2 linked regions of the Notamacropus eugenii genome follow. The protein of the gene in region 1 binds, or shares a complex with, the protein of each later gene. Links are inferred from orthologs where the notes say so. Each region holds a gene or a part of one and is shown on either strand. Other genes may lie near its edges.

What was found. Proteins that work in one complex are often made in the same cells at the same time.
Region 2: the proteins of KRAS (region 1) and RGL1 are in contact, whole or in part, in a crystal structure (PDB 7SCX), measured with the Homo sapiens proteins. The link is inferred for Notamacropus eugenii from reciprocal best matches to the Homo sapiens genes KRAS and RGL1. Residues at the interface, in NP_001356715.1 of Homo sapiens: Ile24, Gln25, Glu31, Asp33, Pro34, Thr35, Ile36, Glu37, Asp38, Ser39, Tyr40, Arg41, Leu56, Tyr64, Met67; in NP_001284600.1 of Homo sapiens: Ile651, Arg653, Asn660, Gly661, Asn662, Met663, Tyr664, Lys665, Ser666, Ile667, Met668, Lys685, Asn687.

Annotation. Positions count from the first base shown.
Region 1 is NC_092874.1:180,486,727-180,497,871, reverse strand, and holds the start of KRAS (GTPase KRas), read right to left. Parts: upstream 4,455-11,145; 5' UTR 4,327-4,454; intron 3,908-4,326; exon of another isoform or gene 3,830-3,907; intron 601-3,829; 5' UTR 590-600; coding exon 479-589; intron 1-478. UniProt on the Homo sapiens protein: Ras proteins bind GDP/GTP and possess intrinsic GTPase activity. Plays an important role in the regulation of cell proliferation.
Region 2 is NC_092873.1:461,403,323-461,413,826, forward strand, and holds the start of RGL1 (ral guanine nucleotide dissociation stimulator-like 1), read right to left. Parts: upstream 5,050-10,504; 5' UTR 4,921-5,049; intron 1-4,920. UniProt on the Homo sapiens protein: Probable guanine nucleotide exchange factor.

The DNA of each region.
Region 1 (11,145 bases):
ATGATGGGCTGTGAATGACTTCCCAATTCTTAGTAATACAATGATACTAGACAACTCTGAAGGACTTATGATGAAAAATGCTATCTCTCCCCAGGGAAAGAACTGATGGTGTCTGAATGCAGACTGAAGCATACTTTTTTTAACTTTATTTTTCTTAAAAGTTCTTTTTTTGTCTATATTTTGTTTCACAACATGACTATTATGGAAATGTTTTACATGACTACATATGTATAAGCTATATCAAATTGCTCACCTCAATGAGGGAAGGGAGGAAGGGAGAGAATTATTTTTACATGTAATTGAGGAAAAATAAAATACCAAACAAAAAAAAGGTAAGCAATTAAATACTAATTTTAAGTATTTTTCACAAGGGATCTGAAATACATTTCAGTTAAGTATTATTGGTCAAAAACTTCAGTCTATTATATGTATGTCATTATTTAACATCACACACATATAATATTTAAAACAGACTTACCTCTATCGTGGGATCATACTCATCTACAAAGTGATTCTGAATTAGCTGTATCGTCAAGGCACTCTTGCCTACGCCACCAGCTCCAACTACCACAAGCTTATATTCAGTCATTTTCAGCAGGCCTTATAACAAAAAATGATAATAATAACATGATCAGAATATTCTTCACATAAATTTAATGTAGCCTAAACTTTCTGACAGGCTAGAAATGAAATGGATACCTACCTTTACATGAGATATGCTTTTAGGATATACACAAAAAATGTGATGTTGAAAATTGAAAATAACTTTAGTAAAACTTGTTTTAATGGATGCAATGGAAAAAACATATCAGATCTCTTCTAAAATACTATAAGCTACATAGCTTAGAAATCTGAGTTTTATGATGTTTACGACAACTTTCCCATCAGTATTTTGAGAAAAATAAAACCAGTGTGAGTACAGGCAAAGTTCTTCTATCTCATACTCTGACTAGATAGTTCTTTGTAGAATGGCCATTTGCGGGTTTTGAGCTTGTTCTCACTGGAATATGTCATGACTTCATGGGATTAGAAGTACAGAGTACAGCACTCTACAACCTCAACTAGAGTGACTGAATACCTCCTCTGCTGCCATTGTCATTTTTCTATGAAACTCTAGCTTCCAAAAAGATGGCAATTACTGTAAAATCCACAGGAAAGATTGTGAATACGTGGCAAGAAGTATACCTTGGCCAGCTTCAGAAAGCTGACAAGGAAGTAAAGTTAAATTAAGATTAAAAGTGTATAAGAACAAATTATTTTATTAATCAAAACATTTATTTTAAAGGACATAGAAACAGATTTCCCCTCCGAAGGTGCAATCGTTCAATGTCAATTTGTTAATGTCAAGAATTTGATCTACGTTACATGTACTACTACCATACACACATCCTGTCCCTGCAATACGTAAACCTATGTGTATATGTATTTATGTATGGAGTGGCCATTGATTTCCTTTATGGAACCAAAGAAAAAAGAAGTACATGTAAGAAAGGCCAATCAATACCATTTAGAAGGGAACTGACAATAATCCAAAATTAGATATCAGTTCCTGAACAAATTACTGAAGTGTGAATGAATGCACATACAAATATATTCAGTGTCTGTACATAAGTGTACATAGAAAAAAAAACACAGAAGGTCTATCTATTTGGCTCACACAAGAATAAGAAATATCCAAACAGATCAAAATCCAAATATTCTAGTTTGTCAAATATACCATTCCCCAGCCTACTCTCCAACAGGTAATGTCCTTAGGCTCCAAAAGTTTTTGTGCCAGGTAAAGAATAGCCTTTTAATTTATCTTGTTCCATACTCATTTCCCTCCAACATGAGAACAAGGAACTTGCATTAGCCTAGTTCTTAGCCACTACAGCAAGGAATCTTGTGCTATTTGGCCCTCCTTGTGTAATGTCAACAACAAACAGCATGGAGAAAACCTACCATGCTTCAAAGTTTAAGTAGCAGTTCCTATGCAAGGCCTTTCCTGATTCACAAAAGTTGCTAATGCCTTCCCAAATTAACTCATATTAATCCTGTGTATACTTTGTATTGTATTTCATATGCCCATGCTATTTCCATGAATAGAATGTAAGCTCGTTGAAGGGGGGAGAGCTCTTTCCTTTTGCTCTGCGCACTAGCAAACAGCACAGTGTGCTAAATAAATGTAGAATCTGTGCCATAACTTCAACTCCCAGCTCCTACGCCTGCCCCCCACCCCAAAACTGCTTACCTTAAAGTCCAAAAAGCAAGTACTAACTCAATGAAAGTTAACCATGAAGTGCAAAATCCTTGGTCTGACATTTATGACCTCCACAATCCTGCTCCAGTCTCCAGATTTCTCTTGTACTACTTTCCTTCATATACTCTATGGTACTGCCAAAATGGAACACTTAAGAGTCCACAGTGGCTGAACAGTCACATGCTTTTCTATCAGTGCCTTTACTCATTTGAGGGTCTTCCCCTCAAATCTACTTATTTAAATCCTTTATATTATAGGTTCATAGTATTTAGAACTGAAAGGGACCTTAGAAATCATCTAGTCCAACCCTCTCCCCTCAGGCTATCTGGGTAAGTTTATGAATGAAAAAATTAAGGTTTAGAAAAATGAACTGAGTGCCCACTGATTCACAGTAACAAGGCTAAGATTCAAAATCAACTTGCTGTTTTTACTAATTTAGCAATCTGGTGTTCCTTGCATTAATTTCATTCAAAGGATAGGGATAGACTCTCACTTCAAAGGTTTAGGGAACTTCGAGGTGAGGAAATTCTCTGTACCAAAGTATTCTCTGCACTTTAGATAGTTTTAGGGACTATGCCAAGTGCTTTACAACTATGATTATCTCATCTGATTCTCACAACAACCCGGGGGAATAGCTGCTATTACTATCCTCGTTTTACGGATAAAGTGAGGTTAAGTGACTTGACCAGGGCCACACAGCTAGTAAGTGTCTGAGGCTGGATCTGAACTTAGGCCTTTCTGACTTCAAGCCTAGCACTGCATCCACTACACCACCCCAAGCTCATCACTGTACAAATGAGAAAATTGAGTCAGAAAGAGGTTAAGTGACAGTGCATAGTCAAGAAAAGAAATTGAGCATTTTAAGGTAAATAATATTCTCTTAATTTACCTCTCTCTGAAAATTCAAGTTTTTAAAACAGGCTACATCTGAACATGTCTTAGGTTCCAAACAACACCTAATTGCCATCAACTACCTTCAGTGAATAAAGTCTTATCATTCTGAAGCTGAGTCCATCAATATGGACATCAATCAATGACTAATGTTAAGACTGTCTGGATATCAATAGCCATTTTCCCTTCTCTAATTCTCTATGCTTACTACTGCACTTGTAAACATCAGCCAGTCTGCAGCTTTAGCTATAACACATACACACACCTGATCAAAAGGCTGCACTAGGTTGTTTTGGCGGCCACTACCAGGTCCTCGCCACTGGTCATTATTGCTAAATGTTGGAGTTCGGTTACAGCTCGGTATTACTGTAGTAACTTCCAGGATGGTGAACGTGTTCTGCGTTCTTCACCAGAGATAACCACTTTTAGTTTGTGGCTGATTTTTTTTCTTGCTTATAAATAAACTTGACTCAGCAAAATTCTCCGGGATAAACCATTTTCCGTTTACAACTCCTGCCAGGTTTAATTCCGTCCACCTGGAGCTTTCTGCTGCCACTTGCCGAGCCACAGAGGGAATTCGGCGGCTGCAGCAGGACCCTCCCCAACGTAACCTCCGACACCGAGTCTCTGCCTACTTCTCAGTTCTCTTGGGAAAGGACCCCCCCCGCCCAACAACACACAAACACACACAACACACACAGAGTCTTTGTTCACAAGGAAGAAGACCACTTAGCGGCGGCGGCGGCGGCAAAAGAAGTTTCTCGCTCGCTCGGGGAGATGCTGAGGGCGGCAGGGGGGACGTCGCCGGGCAGCCGAGGCGGGGAGCCGGCCAGGAGGGAGTGCGCCGACCCACCGACGGGCAGACCGGGGCGCAACCTCCACCACGCCCGGACCCGCCCTCGGGCCGGCCGAGTTTCAGCTCGCCTCGAGCCCGGCCGGCTCTCCGGGGAGGGAGGGAGGAAGGAAGAAAGAAAGGAAAGAAGGAAGGGGATTCCCGTTCAGGAAGCGGCGGCAGCCTCTCCCTGCACCCCCCCCCCCCCCAGCCCGTCCTCGCCGCCGCTCCGTCCCTCCCACCCCCCACCCCCGCGAGGACCCCTAATTCATTCACTCTCCGTCCGCCCCGCCCAGCCTGGCGCCGGCGAGAAAAGGTCGGACCCCGGGCAGGGACTCAGGGGGGAGGGCGGCAGGGCCCGTACCTCTCTTCCGCGCCGGAGAGACGCTGCGTCTCGGGCCCGCACGGCCGCCTGCGTTAACGCCGCTCTCGAGCCCACTCTGAAATGGCGGGGGCCGGGGAGCGCAGAAGGAGCCGGAGCCCGAGGCGCAGCCACCGCTGCTGCTGCCGCCTCTGCCGCCGCCGCCGCCGCCGCCACCGCCTGGGGAAGTCGAGTCCCGAGCGAATGGATGCGAGCCGCGAAGGCCGAGCTATCGATGAGTTCCGCGTTCGACTTCTTTTCGGGCGGGCGAGAGAGAAGAGGGAACGGCCAGGGCGGTGTGAAGAGAGAAAGAAGGAGGGAGTCAGGCGAGAACTGAGCTCGAACTGCTAAGTGGAGAAGGAGGAAGAGAGTTGGGGCAGGCGGCGCACCTCACGTGAGGGCGGAGCTAGGCTAGAGGAGGAGAGGCTAGAGCACTGGCTAACTCCACGCCCAGCCTGACAGAGTAGCGGCCCCCTTCCGCCCCCCCACCACACACACCCATCCATCCACATACACACAGAGGCTGCCAGCTGGCCAATCCCCTTCCGCCCTCCGGCCGCACTCCCGCCCACGCGGCTCTCCAGCCACTCACCTTGTCTCTGGTCGTAGACACTCTCCTCCCCCTCCTACACATCGAGTCGGAGCGAGCCGCCACACCTTCGGGTCTCCCCGCAGGCACCCTCCGAGCTGGAGAAGCTCCCTTGTTCCGCCCCTAGTCTAGAGCCGCGGACGGGCCTGCCCAGGTGCCCCGAGCGCGTCTTCTGCTCTTCGCGTCCTCATGGCCCTCGGCTCTGTCCATCCACCTCGGCGGGCAAAGCCCGGCTCCGGCGCCTCCTCTCCCCGCCCGCAAAGCCTGTCCTGCTGCACGGGAGGACTCTCCGTCCCCGATCCCGCGCCTCTTCCTTCCCCCTCTCTACCTGTGTTCCGTTGGTATTGGGAGCCCCCTCCCCCTTTACAAATGTGGGTGAGCACCGGCAGCACAATTGGTAGTCTTGGAGCTGGGGTCCGCCAACTTTAAAAAAAATAACTCCAATACGAGTTCCCGTTGTTAAACTTTGTATTTTATTTCAGGCATTTTACTTTAATCACGTGTACAGTAAAATTTTAATACTCTTTTTTAAAAAAAATTTGAGTTCCTAATCCGTCCCTACCCCCCTTTTTGAGAAGGCAAGCCATTTTATATAGATTACACTTGTGCGGTCATTCAAAACAGTTCGATATTAGCCAAGTTGCAGAAGAAAACTCAGACCAACAAGCAAAAATAATAAAAGAAAAAAATGTGCTTCATTCATTCTGCATTCAGAGTCCATCGGTTCTTTCTCATAGCATTTTTTTAAATCACAAATCCTTCTGAACTGTTTTGGAAACATGCCTGTATCTACTGGATTCCATAGACTATCAAAGGGGACTGTGACACACCCACACCTTCATTCCCCCTCCCCCCCCAAAAAGCGTTAAGAACCCAGGAAAGAGCGGTTTAGGAGAGGGCGTGACTTGTCCAAGGTCAGCCAGTCAATAGATGTCAAACACTGGAACCCAAGTCTTTGAAGGCTACCTGTTCCCCAGATTTGAAATACATTCCAGCCTCACCTCTGCCTCTTAAAATCCCTTATTTCCTTCAAAGCTCAACGGAAGTGCTACCTCCAGCCTGAAGCCTTTATTATCATAATCTCCCAACTCTGGTGTCCCTCCCCCCTCCCCCTTCTCTCGAGTACTCTCTCCCAACTAAAATTTTCTTGTATTTGCTTTATCAGCATAATTGTTTATCCTCTTCTCTGGGAAGGAACTGTTTGTGCCAGCTAGGTCGAATTGTGGATAGACTGCTAGATTTGAAATCAAGAAGACCTGAATTCAAATCCTGCCTCAAACTGATATTGTGTGTGTGACTCTGGTCAATTCACTCAAACTCCCTTTCCTAACCTGGTTTCCTCATCTGTAAAATGGGGATAATAATAGCACCTATTTTTCCAGGGTTATATGTATTTAAATCAATATTACTTGATTATTAATATTGTTAGTGTGATATAAGAAAATATAAAAATAGAATATGATATAAGAAATGATGAATACAGAAAAGCATGGGAATACTTACATGAACTGATGCATGGTGAAGAAAGCACAATATATTCACTAATTACTAGAATGTAAATGGGGGAGAAAGCAAGAACAAAACGATCCCAACTGAATACTGTGAAATTATAATGACCGAGCATGGCTCCAAATGAAAAGATACCTTGGCTCCTTTTTGCAGAGGTGGGGGATTATTGGTGTGGTGCACTGAATATGAAGTAAGACTTTGATACTGTTTAATATTGCTGAACTGTCTCTTTATTCTTTATCATGTTGAAGAAAAGATAATACTATATTTTGTGTTTTTAGCAGAAGTCATCCAGAAATTAATTTAATCTTGTTCTAAATCCAGGCATCTGTAGGTTGGAAAAATAGTCAAAATGTCATATTGTCACACACTCTCTCTCTCTCTCTCTCTCTCTCTCTCTCTCTCTCTCTCTCTCTCTCTCTCTCTCTCTCTCTCTCTCTCTCTCTCTCTCCTCTCTACCCTAAGGCAACTTTGAGGTAATATTCACAGGAATTTATTCAATTTTGAATAAACCTTCTATTCAATCTAATAGAATAAGTCACTGAAAACTTCTCCTAAGGGCATTCAATTCTTCTTTTGACCACTCCCCACCCACCTACCAGGATTAAAAAAAGCTTTCTCTCTCAGGTAATCAGTATCTTAATCCTTTGTCCTCAGTCTTCATCGACCCCCAACTGTATAGTTTCAGGAACTGCTTTACCCTGAAAGCTCATGATACTCTGACTTCACACATAGGAGCTACCTTTCTCCCCCACTGCCTGTCCCACTAATTGCCTAGTTCCTTCAGAACCTGCAATTTAGGGAGGGCAACCAGGCCAGTCAAATCTTCTCTAAACTGCTCTCCATACTGTCCCAGACTTTCATTACCAGGACCTGATGCCAATCCCCTCCACTCCCCAGGGACCTTCATCCCTTCTTCTTGTCCCCACCCACTCAGGTTTTTCAATATCCTTCTATGTATTCTTTCCCAGTCACTAGAATGTAAACTAGTTGAAGGCAAGCTGTTTCTGCTTGTATTTGTTTCCCCTGAACTTAATAGTAAGAATTTAATAAATGCTTCTTGAATGAAGAGGGCAATGTCCCAAAGTAGGTCACAGCCTTTCTCCTCCAGAGATGGAAAAGCAATGATCTTAACTCCTTTTTTTGGCGTCTAAGTTTGGGTACCATATTGAATTCATATTCTTGGGACCTTAGCTTTTATTATTGACCTTTTCCACACTTTCCTACAGGAAAAAGGACTTTAGACTAGATTAATATTTATTTCTTGATATTTTCAGATGAACAAAAAAAGGGGTTTAATATGATTCCACAGTTATAAGAAAATATCTCTTGGAAAGAGAGTAGGGTGAAAGATATTTGGTTAATATAAGTGATAGAAAAACAAAATATATGCATAAAAATTTTTTTAAAGAGGAGGGGAACATTTCAAGAGTAGAAAAAATTATTATTCATCCCACACATCCAAGTCATCATATCTTCTCAAGACATCTTTTCTTATCAGTTTTTTCCTCTGCATTCTCACTGTCTTACAGTAAGAGTACTATTGGAGTACAGAGTACAAGTCCTCATCCCCATCCCTAGATTGCTACAATAGCCTTCAAGTTCTCTGTCCTCTGATAGACCCAACATATTGCCAGACCAATGTATCTTAATGCTAGGTTTATCATCTTTAATAAATAGCAAGAACCTATGTGAAGAGAAATGGACTAACCCTGAAGATAACAAAGACAAGTTATCTGAATTCCAGGGGCTTGCAAATTACTCGTTCACTTGGACTAGATTCTACTCACTTCATAAACACACTGATGATAATATAATAATTGATATAAATAATATAATTGATATATTATAAACATAATATATATGACATGATGTAATGTAATATGATATGATATATGTTATGATATGATATGATTAATATAACATAATATAATAATATGGTAATCGTGGATGGGAAGATATCTGAAATAAATTGGGGGTCTAGATATTCAGATATAGCCATGCTAACAGAAAAAAAAATGCAAGCAAACCACAGCATAGATCATTAAAGGTCTAAGATCACAAAATCATTAGTTGTAACAAAGGAAATGAAACAGAAACTTTCTCAGCAAATATTGCCCCAAATGAGTGTCTTTCCCAAATACATTCTGGAGAAACAGCTCTCCTTTATCCAGCTCCCCATCTGAAAACTGACAAAAAACATAACAATGTGCTAGCAGCTTTTCTAGCTTCTTATTCACCCCCTTTGTATCTCAACCAGTAGCCCTCTGCTTCTGTTCTGTTCAGTACTATGAATTCAGACACTGCTGCCCTCTTCTTACAGAGGCACTATAGTATATAGCCCACAGAGTCCTGAATTTAAGAGTTTGAGACAGATGGGTTCAAATCCCACCTCTGATACATACTAGATGTCACTCAATTTCTTTAAGTCTCCGTTTCCTTGCTTGAAAAATGAAGGAGTCATTTATATGGTTTCTATAGTCCCTTCTAGGTCTAAATTTATTACCCTATGATCATTGCTTTTACCGCTTTTTACTCTTCTTTCTCCTACTCCTCTTCAGGATAACAACCCCTTCCTGATAATGATAATAGCTAGCATTTATATAATTCCTTAAGGTTTGCAAATTGCTTTACAAATATTATCTCATTTGATTCTGAAAACAACACTAAGAGACAGTCACTATTATCCTCATTTTTATATCTGCAGAAACAGAGATTATATGACTTGTCCTGGGTCACATGGCTAACCAATGTCAGAGCCAGGATTTGAACAAAAGGTCTTCCTGACTTCTATCTGCTATGGTACACTGCCTGTTTCAATACTCACTGAAGAGCAAAAATACTGATTAGCAGCCTTAGCAGGAAAATAGAGAGTTGAAAAACCGTTGAAATAGAACTATATCTGTCTATATATGAATTGTTGCAATAACCCACTGGTGCAAGTCTCTCCCCACTCCAATCCATCTTCCACTGAGCTGTCAAAGTGATCTTAAAGTGCAAATCTGACCGTCACCCCTGCCCTCTAGTCAATAAACTCCAGTAGCTCCCTACCATCTCTAAGTTCAGATATCTAATTCTCCATAGTATGCTGAAAGCCCTTCATAATCTGCCCTTCCCTCACCTTTCTAAACTAATACCTTACCTTTCCCCCAAATCCCATATTCTGTGATTCAGTGGCATTGGCCCCTTTCTGTTCCTTGGATAAGACACTCCTTCTCCACCTTTCAAACTTTAGCTTTGTTGACATCTGTCCTTCCCTCAATTTCCTCTTGGTAGTAAGCCAGATTAATACTCCCCACCCCAACTTAACAAGGGAGAGCATTTAACTTGCCCAAGTGATGGAGAAAGTGATCAACTGTGGATCCAATGAGGTTCTAGCTGAGGGGTGAGGAACATGTGGCCTTGAAGCCACATTGACTGAATCCAAACTTAGCAGGGGTGGGGAACCTTTGGCCCATGAGGCCTTGAGGGCTGAAGCTTTCGCACCCTTGAAGCATTTGCATACCTGACTAGTACAGGGAGGAAAAGACTTCTCCATAAAGGAAAGGGGAAAGGAAAATATAAATACAGCTGAAGTCGCCTCCCCTTGGAATTTCCACGCAACATGAATCCAGCCAGATGACAACTTCAACCCCATAACATAGGTAAAGTAGCTCAGCCCCAGTCATCTGGACAGGACACAGGCAATACTGGACAAGGGAAGGTGTAGACACCAAGAAAGCTGAGAGAGAAAAAAAGAGTTGAATGTAAGTCAAGGATCCACTCATATAAACCAACAGTAAGATTCATAAAGAAAGAAAAATAGAGTATATGAAATTATACAGTATTATAAGTAAATATTATGGAGAAGATAGTGACTGAAAACTTTCACTGATACAAAGTTATATAATAAATTATGCAGAACCTTTAGAAACAATTAAACAATGGCAAAAAAAAAAAGATTTGCACACATGTATTCAAATTCCAGAATGATTCAGAGGTGAAGAAAAATAAAAGAAATGAAAGTGGAATTATAATTATTTTGGAAATCGGGGTTCTCAAAGAAGAAACTTTTTAAAAAACAAATGTTTAAGTAGACAGTTTAGAACAGGTAAAAGAACGTGAATTAGTCAAAACCTTAGAGGTCATCTAATCGATGTCCCTCATGTTATAGATGAAGAAAATGAAGTCTGGAGAAATAGAGCAACTTGCCCAAGATCACACAGGTAATAAATGGCAGAACCATAATTTTAACTCAACATCCTTGACTTCAAATGCAGTGCCCTTTTTACTGCATCATACTTTCTGCTATGGAACCTATCTAGAATAGCACAGTCTGAAAAAAAAGGTTCAGAATTGATACTAAAAAATATCTAAACTGGAAATTGAGGGGATGCTCATCAATTGGGAAATGACTGGACAAGTTGTGGTATATGAATGTAATGAAATACTACTGTGGTATAAGAAATGATGAGTGGACGGACTTCAGAAAAACCTGGAAAGACTTATATGAACTGATGCTGAGTGAAGTGAAGCAGAACCAGAACACAGTAACAGCCACAATGTGTGATGATTGACTGATAGACTTTGCTCTTCTCAGTAATGCAAGGTTTAAGACTGCTCCAAAAGGCTCATGATAGAAAATGCTATCCACATCCACAGAAAGAATTATAGTCTAAACAGATTGAAGCAGACTATTTGCTCTCTCTCTCTTTTGCTTTGTTTCTTCTTTCTTGTGGTTTATT
Region 2 (10,504 bases), on another chromosome or scaffold:
TGAACCTGCTGCTGCTGCTGCTGCGACTGGGGATTCCACAACTGGAGATTCCACCCCTGAGGTGTCCTCCTCCCAGAGCCACGCCCCTTGACCAAGGCTGGGCTGGGTTTGGCCTTTCAGGCCACCATGGGCTGGAAATCTCCTCCACTCTGTTGTTCTCCACTTCTGCTGCTCCAGAATTTGTTGAGAGTCCCTCTCTACAGGTATTTTATGGGCTGTGTGGAGAGAGCCTGCATATGTGTGTCTTTCTACTCTGCCATCTTGGCTCCACCCACTCATTGTTTTTATCTTTAAAAATCCAAACCTTATTATTAGTTTTTGAAGGTACAATCACTTTTACTACCTCTATTCTCACAGCCCCCTCAGTCACAGAAAGCTTTTTAATCTGTTGTACTGGAGAATTCCAAATGACTTGAAAGTACCTCCTTAGCTAATGGTGGCATCCAAGAACTCTCTTATGGTGTTTTTCAGAAAACAATGTTTTTGACAATCTCAGCTTTTTAACAGTCAATTCAGTGATTTATCACTGATATAGACAGTTCAAAATACTTTGCAAATTTCAAATATGTACATACATACTCCAACAAAACCAAACAAAAATACTTTTAAAATCTTAAAAAAAAAACAAACCCAACCCACTAAAGAACTACCGGGAGTTCTTGATTCCTTTAGTTTACTTCTCTCATACTCTTTGTAGACATTACTTAGAATTATAACTGATAGGCAGAAGAAACAAGTTTCAATCCCATTACCACTATTTTATTAACTATTTTACACATCTGAAAAATACAAATGACAATATTTATATAATGGGGAATAGCTACTGAGTTTCATCCTTATGAGCATGTATAGAGTGCTACTGAGGCAATAACCTCATGTAGAAAAAGCTGGGAAGCCAGTTCTGGAAGAATCACTTGTGATGACTGTGTAATGGAGATTCCTTGAAAAGACATTCTGTGATTGGTTCTGGTCTGTAAACCATATAGTGATTATGCGCCCCTTCTGATTGGCTTTGAATGAAATTTCTCTATCTCTTCTTGCTGGGTCTTGTTAGGTTTATATAGAAAGAAATGCAAATGATTTATGTGGATTTATCTTATATCCTACAACTCCATTGAAGTTACTCTTGAAATTAATTTTAGATGATTCTCCAGGGCACCTTAAATACACAATCATATCATCTGGAAAAAGTGATAATTTTGTTTCCTCTTTGCCTATGCTAATTCCCTTAAGTTATTTTTCTTAGCTTATTGCTATAGTCAGCATTTCTAGCACCACATTAAATGACAGTGGTGACAATGGACAATCTTGTTTTATATCTGATCTTACTGAAAAGTATTCTAGGTTAACTCCTTGACATATAATGTTTGCTGTTAGATTTATATAAATTTTATTTACTATATGCATTATCATTGTATTTATTATTATCCTATGTATAAAGGAAATACTTATTAATTCTTATGATTTCTTGCATTTTAATACAAATGAGTATTGTATATTATCTAAAAGCCTTTTTAAGACCTATTGATATAATTATGTGATCTTTATTATTTACATTACTAACATGGTTTATTATATTTATGGGACAGGTAGGTGGTGCAGTGAATAGAGTGCCGGGAATCGCTGAAGTCAGGAAGATTCATCTTCTTCAGTTCAAGTCTGACCTCAGACATTTACTAGCTATGTAAAGTCACTTAACCCTGTTTGCCTTAGTTTCCTCAATTGTAAAATGAACTGGAGAAAAGAATGGCTAACCACTCTAGAATCTTGGTCAAGAAAACTCTAAATGGGGTCACATAAAAGTTGGACATGACTGGAAACCGAATGAATAACAACAACAATTATATTTATAGTTTTCCTTGTTAGATTAACCCTTATTCCTGGGATAAACCTAATCTGGTCACAGTATATAATCTTTCTAATATGCCATTGTAGTCTACTTGCTAATATTTTATTTAAATTTTTTTAATTAGGAATACTGACATAAAATTTTCTGCCTGTGATTTGTTTCTCACTGGTTTAGATAAAAAACCTGCATTTCTATCATAGAAATAGCTTGGAAGGTACTTTTTTTCTTATTACAAACAGTTTATATAACATGAGGTTTAATTGCTCTTTGAATGTTTGATAGAATTCACCTGAGAATCTATCTGGCCATAGGATTTTTTCTTTGGGAGATCATTTATGACTTGTTCAATTTCTTTTTATTTCGTATTTAAATCATCTATTTCTTATTTGGTTAATCTAGTTAGTTTAGGTTTTTGAAAGTATTCATCTGTGTCCTTTAAGGTGTCAGTTTTGTTAGCATATAATTGGGCAAATTTTTTTTCTAAAACTTTCCTTTATTCTTCAATTGTTGTGAGCTCTCCTTTTTCATTTTTTGTATGAACAATTTGTTTTCTATATTTTTTTCTTGCAAATGTAAAATATATTTAAAAAAATAAATCAAGGCAATTGAGGGGAGGCATTAGCAGCTAGGGACAATGAGGAATGTTCTCCTATAGGAGATGTTTAAGCTGAGCTTTGAAAGAAATTGGGGATACTAATATGTGGAAGTAAGGAAGAAGTGCATTCTAAGATCACAAGGAAAGCCTGCACAAAGTTACAGGTCATGTATGTTGAGGAATAGCAAGAAGGCCTATTTGGCTGGATTGTAGAGTACATGAAAAGAAGTAAGGTATAACAATATAATATATATAATAAGCCTGGAAAGGTAGAGTTTATTATCCAATGTATCAAGTAACCCTCCCAGTTACATATTATCTACAAATGTAACATACATCATCTATGTCATAACGCAAGTTGTAAAACCCCTGAAGAGAATTATGCCCAAGACAGTGCCTTATGGCATCATGATGGAGACTGTCCTTCAGGTTACTATCAATCCACTGATCCCCACTTTTTGCATTACCAGTTTCAAATCCATCTAACTGTACTGCAATTCAACTTATAGCTCTTCATATTACTTACAGATAATTAGAAACCTTATCAAATGCTGTATTGAGGTCCTGAGATGCTGTGTCTGCAGCACTGCCCTGATTCATCAGAATATCACAGGCTCAAAGACTTAGAGGCAGAAGGGACCTTGGAGGCCATAGTCCAACTCCTTTATTTTACCATAAGAAAAGCGAAGCCCAGAGAGATTCCATGACTTGTCCAAAGTCACAGAAAGTAGTAAGTGATAAAGCTGGGTTTTGAACACAGGTCCTCTGACTCCAAAGCCATTGTACCACCCATCTAGTAACCCTGTCAGAAATAGCAATATATTTAGTAAGGAAAAACTTGCTTTCTAAAGAACTCATTCTGGCTCTTAGTGCTCGCCACTTTTTCTTTCTGAGTGCTCACAAACAACAATAAGAACTAGTATTTATATAGCACTTCAAGGTTTGCAAATCATTTTACAAATAATATCTCATTTTATCCTCATAACAACCTTAGGAGGTAGGTACTATTAATATTACCATGTTGCAGATGAGGAAACTGAGCCTCCTTTACTCCAGGTACTTGCACCCCTATCTGCCAACTGTCTCTTTAATCATGTATTCTCCATCTCCTCACCATGCTGGACCCCTCATGCATGCTCAACCTCCCCTTCTCCAACTCCACTTTATGTGTTATCTTCTCCCTTGAGAACACAGGCTCTCTATGGCCAAGGGCTATCTTGCTCATTTGAATGTGTATCCCCAGCATTCAGCATAGTGCACAGTAAGTGCTTAAAAAATATTTTATCTATCTATCCAATGCAGTGAGGTTCCATCCTTTCTCTTATCTTCTTCTTGCTCCCAAAGGAGCTTAAATTTTTTCTTTTTGTTTTCTTTAGCATTCATCGATAGCCTGTGATTCACTTTGTGCTTCAGTGTTTTAGACACCAGGTATATGTTTCTTAAAGTATCATGTCACTTTTGTAATCTTCCTCAGTTACTGGTACTTGCTTCCCTTTTCAGTAGAAGTCTTTTTAAAAATTTAAGTAGGTGGGTGAGATTCCTCTGTAGCAACATTTATCGTTTTGAGGGAGATTCCACTTTTCTTCATTTGGAAAACTAGGATCATAAATTTTAAGGTGAAAAGGACCTTAGAGATCATCTAACTCAACAATCTAACATTATAGATAAAGAAATTTAGGTCCACAGAGATTAAGTGACTTGCCAAGGTCATACAGGTAGCAAGTAGCAGAGCCGAGATTTAAACCAAATATTGAAATACGAATCATGGGAACCTTTGAAGAGAAGTTATCGCTCCATTTTAGAATTTTAAGAAACACTAAAGTCTGTTACCCACAAACATTTTGGGGAATATTATATCAAGGGTTCAGAGAAGGGATAGGTAAGATTACACAGGCTGTAATTTTGAAAAGGAAGTCAACCCAAGGTAAGGATGGGATGCTTTCATAGGTGAAATTCTTTAGACAAAAGCTGAAATTATCCCAATGGAATAAAACAGACAGGAATGTCTATGGAAACAAATGTGGATATACAGAAAACTCATCAACCAACTTAGATTTTTAAAATAAAAATGAAAAAAATGGAAGCAAGTGAAAATGGTGGGTAAGCTAAAATGATCACAGACTATGGTATTGTTCTAGAAATATAGTATCAAGCATGTTAAAGCACAGTGTCCCATACTTCTTTGAAAATCTCAAACTTTTCTAAAGGGTACTACAATGAAAATTAAGTCAAATCAGTAAGGATTTATAAAAAAAAATTTTTTTAATGTTTAAGTATTTACTACATGGCAGGCACTCTGCTATAGAAATATGATACAAACAGAAAGACAGCCATGCCCTTAAGGAGTATTAATTGGGTAATACAACACATAAAAGGAAGCTGAAAGAGGTTAGGGTGAGAGAAGGTAACCATAACAGGGGCACAAAGTTCAGCAAGTCAGGAGCATAGCCTGGAAAGGAGCAAAGACCTAACTTACCCTGGCATTTTCCTGAAAATGGAGGCTCTAGGAAGAATCAGCCAATCAGAGGAAGGTGCCTCAGGGTGGAGAGAACTTTAAATGTAGGAAGTTCAGGGATGAAGTGAACTTCCAGGGTGAAGGGCTTCTGTGACCTAATGGAGAAAGTCCAGAAAGTTAGGAGTAAAATATGGAAGGGAATAAAGACCTGGCTGGCCTGGGTGTTTTCCTTAAAATGGAGATTCTACGAAATGGCACAATATCTTCCTCTGAAAATTTTTCAATGATTAAATGCTTTGCAAATGTTCATGTTGTCCCTTGAAAAAATATATTGAGTTTTACTGAGTAGCTAATTTTGGGTTCATGATTTATACATGTTAGGCTTATGTATGTTCATATGCCTTCCAATTCCTCTCACTGTCCCTTGCCTTTCTTAAGAAGTCCACTGTGATCCTGATTAATGTTTCTTGGCAAGTGGTTTCAATCCTTTTTTTTTTTTTTGGCAGCTTAAAGCATTTTTTTTCTCTTTCTGTTATAATGTTAAAGTTTAACTATAATGAGCATAGTAGTATTGAATTTTGCCTTCTTTCTTTAGGAGTCCTATGAATCCTATATGTGTATTGTTGCTTTAAAAAAAAGTTATCTTTTGTTTTACTTCCCCTTCATTTCAAATATGTTCTTCCTTCTTTCCTTTCCAGAGAAATATCACTTGTAATAACAAATAAAAAAGAGAGATGGGGAAAGCATTGCTACTTATTTTTGCCAATTCTGTGAAGCTTTTTTTTGACAATTTCTTGGAATACTATTTTCATATTCTTTTGGTTCTCTAAACTTAGAGGATATCAGTATTCCTAAAATTCTGCCATGTGGTCTAACCTCTAAATTTATCATTTGATTCAGTATGCTTTCCAATTCTTTGGATAATTTAGTGATTTTCTAAATCCATATTCTTCCAGTTGCTCTCCATTGGCAGTATTTCTGTTTTCTTTTGAAGTTAGTTGTTGGTTACTTCTATGTATTCTTAAATGAACTCTATTATATTCTTGTAACAGCAATGACCCCACCACACAGAGGGGCCTGCTATTCTTAGATCTGATTTTCTAAAAGGAAAGCAACTTTTGAGAGGTCAATAATCACTTTAATCAAGCACATACATCATTCACTTAGTTCAGGGGAAAAAGTCAGCACCCTGAACTTCAGAGAAACAAATATCAACCAACAGAGAGGGCTTCCAACTATCTGACCATAACAATACATCACAGATCAACAGACAGATACAACTGTCTGATCATTGCATACATTGTTACCAAAGAGAGAAGCACCAACATCTGGGTTTTCAAAGCCAAGGGGCTCTTTAGTGGCTGCCCAGAGTCTCATCTGGCCAAACAAACACTTCTGATAAGTAAGTCCCCAAATAAAACTTCACCTCAGAGTATTTATACATTTTTCAGAGCCAGGGGGCATCACAACCCTTGAGAACCAGTGCCTCACTAGAAAATTAACCAAAGGTGTAGGCCTCCCCTAATCAAGCTTTCCTTAATGGGCAGTCCCATTAATGGGTGGGGAAGATCTTTAACTCTCATTAGCATTACAGTTCTCCATATTGGTCAATTTTTAAATTATTGTAATGCCAATTCAATGCCCACAGAAGCAGGTATGGATATGCATGCTTATTTCTAGGGTAAATTTGGATAATATAAACTTTCTTCCTCAAAGATGAAACCAAATATTTATTCAGATACCAGAAAGATAAATCCACCATAGTAACAAAGAATTCTATACATATGATCAATGCAGTCAGCACAGTCATCCCTCGAGCCTTCCCTCTGTCAGACATCCCCACAAACAAGCTCCCTTAGGCAAAATTACTCCCTCTCTCACTCATGCTAGCTGCTCTGCTCTGTCTGCTCTCTCCCAGTTGTTCTTCCTGTTCTACCTGATCCCAGTTGTTCTTCCTGTTCTACCTGATCCCTTCCTGTTCTAGCCATTCAGCAAGCTCCTCCCACCACAGGCTTTATAGGCCTATTAATGGATGGGAAAGATCTTCCCATTCCATTAGAAATATGTTAATTCTATTAAAAATAAATTAACAATAAAATTATTTTTTCTGATATTTTAGCAACATTAGGGAAGAAAGCTATTTCACTATGTAGGAACGTAGGACAAAGGGCCTCAATTTCACCTAGGTTCTTAGTGAAACTAAGTGAAGCTCCAGGAATGATTTGGCTTGGACCACAATTGACATGATAATAGTTAAGAGCAATATTTTTACCCTAAGTTTAAGAGTAGATTGAATTCTAGACACAAAAACAGAAGATGGTTTTAGGCTTCTCTGGGTCACTAGTTGGATATGAAACACAAAGAAATAACAGTTCCAGGAAGCTATCAGCTTAAATATCTGGTATAATCCTTCCCTAACGACTGAATTTTCCAAATACTTGGACCTGCTCCTCTGACAAAATGAGATACCATAACCCCTGGGGGCCAGAACGAGGGGATAGGAAGCAATAGCCCAAATTACTGTGTATCCTCAAGAAGGACATGAAGCAATGGACAAATTTAATATATATTTCCAAATACACTTCCCCCATAAATATACCAATTTTTTGTTAGTGAAAACAAAGTTCAAATCAAAGTCAACAAAAGACACAAAAAATATATTTCAATTGATATGAATATAGGACAGCAATTAATATAATTATGTGATATAAAATGCACAAGAGAGGCAAAAATTTGAACTGACATAATGAATCTTAAAGGGAATGCGATGGCCATTGTCATGTATAATTGTCCATTGATGCAAACTCATGATGCACATCAATTAGTGTGGTCACGCTACTTGTATCTGATCATAAAGCACAAAAGTGCAGACTCCAAGTTAAAAAATTTTTGTGCAAAAGACAAAAGTACCATGATATCTTTTATATTTCTCAACATCATTCACTTTTGTAAGGACAAAATGGTTTCCAAAATCATGCAACTTTAAGAAAATTGAATATCCTGAGAAGTTATAGTTGGTTAAAATTTTCAACAATTAAATTTTTCTTAAATACTTCGTTTAATTTTTAAAATTGGCCTAATATCCTTAGACAATGAATAAGTAAATAGCCATGTTGAAAAGAAAATCCACTGGAGCAACTGAATTAATATAAGCATGGACAATAAAAACTGCTTAAGTAGCAGAAACATAGAAACAAAAAAAAATAAAAAGGCAAAAAATCCAGAAAGTAAGTAAGAGCCACTATATAACTATCATAAGCAGTCATAAGTACTGTGATTGATGAAGGGAAAGTGTTTAGTTTGCATGAATACTTTAGCTGCAGATAGTGTGAAACCAAATAAATAGAAACATCTTGAAAATGTACAAAAATAACATGCTGGTAAAAAGAGAATTTTTCCAAAGAAATTTATGTGATTTTTGAGTAAACAAAAACTTTTTCTTTAAGTATATGAAATCAAAATGATTTCCTACATTATATAAAGCTGCTTGTATTATTAATAATGTAAAAAGCCTCAAAAGGGGAAAAAAATGGTGTTACTTCCCACTACTGATACTGTTGAAACAATTCTGGGTAAATCACATCCAAAGATGCTTTGAATGTTTCCACTTGCAAATAAGGTGATGGGGAGAATTGGTCATATGATTTGATAACTTGAATAATTTGAATTAAATGAGGAACTAAAATCTTTATATTTTATATTGCACATGGGTAATGAAGGAGTTAAAGAGGTTCCTTTGATTTCATCTGTATGCTTTGTTGTTTAAAATGATGCTAAGAAAGATTTGTTATTTTTTAAAGGTATTCATGGCAATGCCACACTGAGTTGTCAGTATAACTGACAATTTTTTATTGAAAATTATATTACATGAATTATATTGGATTCTTTGCTGATGAATCTTAATTTTTAGAATAAAACACAGATTATAAGTACTAGTTGAAATATGGTCCTTCATGTATTATATTCCATTATATTCCTTATAATCATTTATATCAAGAAATATGAGTGAAAGGGTACACATGGTTTTTCAAATTGTTGCAAGAATAGTCAAACTGATTTGAAAAATAGTCTATTAAAAGGAAGGCTTTTTAACAAAATTACATGGTGATGTGGGGGGAGGAGTACAGCATAAGGCTTTATTTATGTTATATTTTATTATATTACATTACATCATATTGCATTTAATGATACTATATTGAAACACTACAGCTTTCCTATACCAAGAAACTTCAAAGGAAGTCTGAACTAAAAGAAGACACTGCCATTTTTCTTACTTAGTGATAATAATAAAGATTAAGCAGATTAATTTTATAATAAAAATTTTCTCCTGAACTTCATATACTTGGTGGATATTTTTTCAAACTGACTACAGTACACTAAATCAGCACAGTTTCTCTTTCTGATTCATAAAGATAAAGTGACAACATTTATGAAAAAGTTAAAGACTATGAATAATAAACTGACAAAATAACATTTTTTATATATTTCCAATGTGGCATCATGAACAGAGAGTACAACTTCAAGCAATGAAATCCTAGGTCCAAGCCCCGACTGGGACACATACTAGTTATATAACCCTGGGCAAGTCATAAAAACAACTTTTAAAAAATTTTTAATATTTTATTTTTCCCAATTGTATGTAAAGACAAATTTAACCTTTCTTTTTTACAATTTTGAGTTCCAAATTCTCTTGTACTCTAACTTCTCTCCCCCTCTTTAAGAAGGCAAGCAATTTAATAAAGGTTATACATATGTAGTCATGCAAAACATTATTTCCATATTAGTCATGATATAAAAGAAAACAGAAAAAAACAAGGAAAATAAATTTTAAAAATATGCTTTGATCTGCATTCAGGTTCCATCAATTCTTTCCCTGGAGGTGGAAGGCATTTTTCCATCATAGGTTCTTCAGAATTTGTATTGCCGAAAATAGCTCAGTCAATCATGGTTGATCATCATACAATGTTACTGTTACTGTCTACAATGTTCTTCTGGTTCTGCTCACTTCACTTTGCTTCAGTTCATGTTAAGTCTGTCAGGGTTTTCCTGAAAGCATCCTGTTCATCATTTCTGAAAGCACATTCATATTTCATCACAATCATACACAACAACTTGTTCAGACATTGCTTAATTGATGGATATCCCCTCAATTTTCAATTCTTTGCTACCATAAAAAGAGCTGCTATAAATATTTTTGTACAAATAGGTCCTTTTTTAAAAAATTTCTTTGGGATACATACAGAGTGGTAATGCTGCATCAAAGGGTATGCATTATTTCATAGCACAGTTCCAAACTGTTCGCCAGAATGATTGGTTCAGTTCACAACTCTACCAACAATGCATTAGTGTTCCAATTTTCCCCAAACCCCCTTCAACATTTTTAATTTTCCTTTTTTGTCATAATAGTCAAGCTGATGGGTGTGAGGTAGTAATTCAAAGTTGTTTTAATTTGAATTTCTCTAATCAATAGTGATTTAGAGCACTTTTTCATGTGACATCAAAGATGACTTTGATTTCTTCATCTGAAAACTGCCTACTCATGCTCTTAGACCATTTACCAATTGCAGAATGACTCATTATTATAAATTTGACTTAGTTCTCTATA